Linked DNA regions of Saccharomyces cerevisiae S288C. The protein of the gene in region 1 interacts with the protein of each later gene in a biochemical or structural test. Each region holds a gene or a part of one and is shown in the gene's direction. Other genes may lie near its edges.

Region 1 (3,797 bases):
GCTATGCTTAAATGTGATATATATTTTGTATTTACACCTATGAACTATTCCTTTACGTCTTTGTATGCGTTTTTTCTTATGTTTGGCGTGCTAATGGGAAAAAAATAAAAATACAATATCCGGGTATTTCCGTCGTGTTATAAGTGCTTACATACCTAATTACATCTAGGTACCTGCCACCATACAATTTGTTTATTCTATTTCAGGGTCAAGCTTCTCAAGTAGTAAAGAACTATTTTTTAAGCCGGCGTCCGCTATGGTCATGTTTAATTTATCAATCAAGTCCTCTCTTTGGTGATCATTTAGTGTGAATCTTGAATCGGCAAAACCATCCATTTCTGTCTTGATAACCTCGTAAATAGTACGCACAGTGTCTTCCAGAGCATTGAATCTACGAACTAGTCTGGAGCCATCACCGGTACGAATTTGAATTCTTGTAGTGATCCCTGGTTTATTTGGCGGTTCTGGATGCACCCTGGCTTCAATGGTACTGAATGGATCCGGTTCTTGTACTCGTTTCTGTTCTTCGCCAGTACTCGGCACTTCTTCTTGGTTTGATTTGCTCGAGTTATTATTTAATGACTCTTTAATGGCTAATTCCATTTGTTGCTCTTCGGTCAAAGTTGTTGGATCCACTTTAGGAAGAGGTTCATTAACCGTGGGATTAGGGACCTTTGGATCTAGCGAAAATGAGGCCAAAAACTCGTTGATTTCTGAGATGAATTGCTCTGGAATGGGAACAACCCTATTCCATTGCTTGACACGTTCACCGGTAATTGGATCCAGTATCGCGATATGGGGCAAATCATCCTTATTATTCAAGTGATAGAACTGAAGATAGGGTTGGGCATTACGTGATTCATATTGATACTGTAGGAAAACGAAGTTCTCTTTGATTATAGTTTTTACCGGTCTGGACGACCACAAATCCCTGTTGAGGGCTTGGCATTGGAAGATTCCTGAATCCTGAATGTTAATCATTATCCATTTTTGCTTTGCCCTTGCCTTTTGCTTTGCAGCGTCTAAGTCGAGTTTGGACATGATTGAAAATGGAGGCCTAAATAACAAAGCTAATTTCTGCTCCTTGGAAATGGTTTTAGGCTTTCTCACTAATTTGGTGTACTCCTTGATATTGCCGTCTTCATCAAGTTCGATGACCGGCTCTTCCACATACTCATATTCGTCGTCGTCATTTTCTTCCTCGGAGTCCAAGGAATCTGAAGAGTTGTCATTGATGTATGTATTAGTATTTGTGTCATCCAATCGTTGATTAAAAATGCTTTCAGGTCTTCCTTCGTCAAACATGTCGTTCACCCTATGCAATGGTTCAAATCTTCCGCCAATGCCGCCGTAAGAAATTGGGAATCCTGAAGTTTCAGTAAGTACTTCATGTCTTGCCTCATCAGGTGGCCTGACATAATCTTGGTCAGGCTGTTGTTGTTGGTAAGCTTCCCTTTGCAACCTCTCCGCTAATTGTGCATCGGCATCTGAATCTACAGAGGTGGGCGCCATAGGAGTCGAATTAGACGGAGTAGGTGTGTTGTTACTGCTCAGTAAAGCAGCCCCACCATTTTCGAAAAACAATGATATGGCTGTGTTCAAGTTCCCGTCTGCCATTTCGATGAATTGAGTGGCAATAGCAGCGTCATCAGCGCCAGTGATGGCCATAAATTCGTCTACTTTTCCCTCTGACATATAAAAGGTATGTTATTATTGCCACACGTCGTAGTCTATGCGTTTGTAGTGACACTATTGAGCGATCATAGCTAAGATGTCGTTAACAAGTAGTAGAGTTTGCGTGAATGTATGAATATTTCCCTTTTTCCTTAAAAATTCCTTGCATTTTGGTAATCGTGTGTAATGATAAGGGCGTTATTCGACTTATATGAGCATGGGGTATATTATTGAGGTAGTTAATACTAGTCATCGTAAAAGCAGAAGCACGAAACAAGGAGGCAAACCACTAAAAGGATGGCCCCAAATCAAAGATCACGTTCGCTTCTGCAGAGACATCGAGGAAAGGTACTCATTTCATTGACTGGAATAGCTGCTTTATTTACCACAGGGTCGGTGGTAGTGTTTTTCGTGAAGAGATGGTTGTATAAACAGCAGTTACGGATTACTGAGCAACACTTCATCAAAGAACAGATCAAAAGAAGGTTCGAGCAGACACAGGAAGACTCGTTGTACACAATATACGAGCTACTTCCTGTATGGAGAATGGTTTTGAATGAAAACGATTTGAATTTGGACAGCATCGTTACCCAATTAAAGGACCAAAAGAACCAGTTGACTAGAGCAAAGTCTAGTGAAAGCAGAGAAAGTTCGCCGTTAAAAAGTAAAGCTGAGTTGTGGAACGAGTTAGAACTAAAGAGTTTGATCAAGCTGGTGACAGTGACGTACACAGTATCGTCGCTGATTCTTTTAACAAGACTGCAACTAAATATCCTGACAAGAAACGAGTACCTGGACTCCGCAATAAAATTAACCATGCAGCAGGAAAACTGCAACAAACTACAGAATAGGTTCTATAACTGGGTTACATCGTGGTGGAGCGATCCGGAGGACAAAGCGGATGATGCAATGGTAATGGCAGCAAAAAAGTCAAAGAAAGAAGGCCAGGAAGTGTATATTAATGAGCAAGCTTTCCTATCACTATCATGGTGGATTCTTAACAAGGGGTGGTTGAGTTACAATGAAATAATTACAAATCAAATCGAAATTGAATTTGACGGCATACACCCAAGAGATACTCTAACGTTAGAAGAATTTAGTTCTCGTCTCACGAACATATTCCGGAACACGAATTCCCAAATATTCCAGCAAAATAATAATAACCTCACGTCTATTTTGCTTCCTAAAGATTCCAGTGGACAGGAGTTTCTTCTGTCACAGACGCTTGACGCGGATGCTTTAACAAGTTTTCACTCTAACACACTAGTTTTTAATCAATTGGTGAATGAACTGACCCAATGTATCGAAAGCACAGCAACATCCATAGTGTTAGAGTCTCTAATAAATGAATCATTCCATTTCATAATGAACAAGGTCGGCATAAAGACAATAGCCAAGAAAAAACCTGGCCAAGAAGATCAGCAACAGTATCAAATGGCAGTTTTCGCTATGTCGATGAAAGACTGTTGCCAAGAAATGCTTCAAACAACTGCCGGGTCTTCCCATAGCGGCAGCGTGAACGAATACCTGGCCACTCTGGATTCTGTGCAGCCGCTCGATGATCTGAGCGCCAGCGTATACAGCAACTTTGGCGTCTCCAGCTCGTTTTCCTTCAAGCCTTAATCTCTGAATAAGTACTGACACTCACACCAGAATATATATATATATAGCGTAATCTTTAATACAGTAAGTGTGCAATAGGTAACATGACATTACCCTGCAGCGATTTAACGGGCGTCTTGGAGAAAAGAAGAGAAAGGGAAGAAATAGGTTGATATATTGAGGGCAGAGAAAGTGATAGCCCAACGTTGGCAAAGATATAACAGAAAAGACGTTATAAACAATACAGGAATACTAACAAACGTAGCGCAGATATGGTGACTTCTAATGTTGTCCTAGTGAGTGGTGAGGGTGAACGATTCACCGTAGACAAGAAAATCGCGGAGAGATCCCTGCTATTGAAAAACTATCTGAACGATATGCATGACAGCAACCTACAAAACAACTCAGATTCAGAATCAGATTCAGACTCGGAAACGAACCACAAAAGCAAAGACAACAATAACGGTGACGACGACGATGAGGATGACGACGAGATTGTGATGCCCGTGCCCAATGTTCGG
Region 2 (3,316 bases), on another chromosome or scaffold:
CAAGACATGAAAGTGTTCGTTCTTTGAACTGGAAGGATATGTTGGGTTGGCAATCCCGTGGTGGTTCTGAAATCGGTACTAACAGAGTCACTCCAGAAGAAGCAGATCTAGGTATGATTGCTTACTATTTCCAAAAGTACGAATTTGATGGTTTGATCATCGTTGGTGGTTTCGAAGCTTTTGAATCTTTACATCAATTAGAGAGAGCAAGAGAAAGTTATCCAGCTTTCAGAATCCCAATGGTCTTGATACCAGCTACTTTGTCTAACAATGTTCCAGGTACTGAATACTCTTTGGGTTCTGATACCGCTTTGAATGCTCTAATGGAATACTGTGATGTTGTTAAACAATCCGCTTCTTCAACCAGAGGTAGAGCCTTCGTTGTCGATTGTCAAGGTGGTAACTCAGGCTATTTGGCCACTTACGCTTCTTTGGCTGTTGGTGCTCAAGTCTCTTATGTCCCAGAAGAAGGTATTTCTTTGGAGCAATTGTCCGAGGATATTGAATACTTAGCTCAATCTTTTGAAAAGGCAGAAGGTAGAGGTAGATTTGGTAAATTGATTTTGAAGAGTACAAACGCTTCTAAGGCTTTATCAGCCACTAAATTGGCTGAAGTTATTACTGCTGAAGCCGATGGCAGATTTGACGCTAAGCCAGCTTATCCAGGTCATGTACAACAAGGTGGTTTGCCATCTCCAATTGATAGAACAAGAGCCACTAGAATGGCCATTAAAGCTGTCGGCTTCATCAAAGACAACCAAGCTGCCATTGCTGAAGCTCGTGCTGCCGAAGAAAACTTCAACGCTGATGACAAGACCATTTCTGACACTGCTGCTGTCGTTGGTGTTAAGGGTTCACATGTCGTTTACAACTCCATTAGACAATTGTATGACTATGAAACTGAAGTTTCCATGAGAATGCCAAAGGTCATTCACTGGCAAGCTACCAGACTCATTGCTGACCATTTGGTTGGAAGAAAGAGAGTTGATTAAAAGAAAATGACCTTTTATTACACTTTCTATTATTAATGTCAATTAATGTTAACCCATGTTTTTCTTTTGTGTCTATAATTCTTTTTTTTTATCTCTAAGCTTTTGAACAATGAATTTTTTGTTCCTTTCTTTTAATAATACAAGTACTACCCCATGAAACCAATATTATCATGCATTTTTATGAATGTCAAGAATAAAGATACTGTTATTTTTTGTGTCTTATTTTTTTTCTCTTTGTTTATTTAAACGTTTTCTAAAATTAAAACTTATGTATACTGGAATATGTGATATAGACGATTTAAAAGATAATTCCAATAAACGTCCCTCGGATCTCATATTTATAAAGGTACCCTTTTAATACAATATTTATACATGTGCGTTAAATACTTTGTTCTCTTATTATCTATGAACTTATCACGAAGAACGGAGATGTAAACAAAAAGAGTGAATGAACTATGAACTTTAAATTACCTTATTACGGAGGAAGTATTCCTTCACCTATGAAGGATACAAGGTCTACATTTTTCGTCTGATAACTCTCAGGAAATTAAACAAAGTGGTATGGTTTTATCAAGGGGAGAAACAAAGAAAAATAGCGTGAGATTAACGGCAAAACAAGAAAAGAAACCTCAATCTACGTTTCAAACTTTAAAACAGTCACTTAAACTTAGCAACAATAAAAAGTTGAAACAGGATTCGACCCAACACTCAAACGATACAAATAAATCTGTTAAAGCCAAAAAAAATGGCACGTCCTCGAAGAAAACCGGAACACAAAGGAAAAGAATATCAACTCAGAGATTTTCATTGTTTACCTATGGCAATGTTCAGGTTATGAATTCATTCGTTCCCATTCATAATGATATTCCGAATAGCAGTTGCATTCGTAGAAATTCCCAAGTATCCGCAAATAATGTCACTGAAAGTAGTGGAGTATTCTTCAATGATACGCAAAGTCAAGACAGTCAAAACACTATTAAGTTAAAACCTACATCTTTAATGGCAAAAGGACCTATTGAAATATATCAGATATGTACAGGGTTTGATAAGTTAAAGGAAAATATAGCGCCCTTTCAAAAATCTAGTAAAGCTAGTAGTCATGATGGGCATGTAGTAAACTATTTATCGATAGGACGACATGGTGATATTGTGCATCCAGTACTACCCAAACTACAAATAACAAGGCTAAATGGCGCAGGTTTCAAATACTTTATTAGCTTTTATAATCCGGAACGGTACTGGGAAATCGAATTTCTACCTTTGATTAGTCAATCCCAATCAGAGTTGGAAAATAGTGTGAAAGCTTTTGAAAACGTCATTAGCAAAATTTGCCAATTTTCGCATATTAATGAAGGAGCTACTATTGGGAATAATGAGTCTTTGAGCGATAAATTCAAACTGCCGCCTACTTCGGACATAGAGCCCCCCAATACTGAAATAATTAATAATGATGATGATAACGATGATGATGATGATAATTATGATGATGACGACCTTAATTACTTGCTGGATGAAGAATACGAACAAGGATGTACAGATAATAGCTTCTCCGTGATATCGAACACTTGCTCTAATCTAAATGCAAGCTTTCTCTATCCGAGCGACCCTACCGATGCCGTGTCAATCTCCATAAATGAAGCTTTCAAAAATGCTATCAGACGAACCGCTCCTGTACTGAATATTCCAATAGCAGCCCCAAGTATTCATTCGAAACAGCAAAACAAAAGATATAGTTCATACCCTTTTATCGACTCTCCCCCGTATCTGCAGGACAGGCATAGAAGATTTCAGAGGAGATCCATATCTGGTCTTGGCGACCTTTGAATGAAGTTCAAAGCATAACTGCACAAATGAATGTAGGTGTAAACCAAAGTGAAGGAGTATACAATGTGAATATAAATGGCTGGAACATTTGATCTATTATTAATAGCTTCTTCTAAAAAAGAAAAATAGAATTTAATATATTTGCAGTTTTGTTTTCTTGTCTTTTATTTTAGACCATTGTGAAAGTAAGGACAAGGATATGAGACGTATCATAACTATAAACAAGGAATTCCCCCTCAACTTGGTGCCCACGTATATACATAATTATTTATATTAAAACAAAAACAAAAAAGTCTGGGAGCGTATGCTGGAGGGAGAAGTCGTTACACAAATTAATAAAAAAAAAGCATAGGAAAGATAAAAACAATGATTATTTATTCAACCATAAAAAAGCCAAGGGAAGATTTTCACAATTGAGGAAGAGCTTGCAATGGGTTACCATCTGCGTCTAAACCTTGTTGTAACATTAGTAATTCTTGATTACCAGCAGTTTCAAATTG

Evidence for each region.
Region 2: the proteins of PEX3 (region 1) and INP1 form a complex in vitro, tested with the Saccharomyces cerevisiae proteins (4 studies listed by BioGRID).

The regions. Positions count from the first base shown.
Region 1 is NC_001136.10:1,125,770-1,129,566, reverse strand, and holds PEX3 (Pex3p), read left to right. Parts: upstream 1-1,971; coding exon 1,972-3,297; downstream 3,298-3,797. Other genes in the region: DNA protein crosslink repair co-factor UBX5, read right to left, coding at 193-1,695; SCF ubiquitin ligase subunit SKP1, read left to right, coding at 3,549-3,797. UniProt on the Saccharomyces cerevisiae protein: Involved in peroxisome biosynthesis. Acts as a regulator of MSP1 by inhibiting the ability of MSP1 to unfold target proteins.
Region 2 is NC_001145.3:669,563-672,878, reverse strand, and holds INP1 (Inp1p), read left to right. Parts: upstream 1-1,553; coding exon 1,554-2,816; downstream 2,817-3,316. Other genes in the region: PFK2 (6-phosphofructokinase subunit beta), read left to right, coding at 1-992; TOM complex pore protein TOM40, read right to left, coding at 3,224-3,316. UniProt on the Saccharomyces cerevisiae protein: Required for peroxisome inheritance.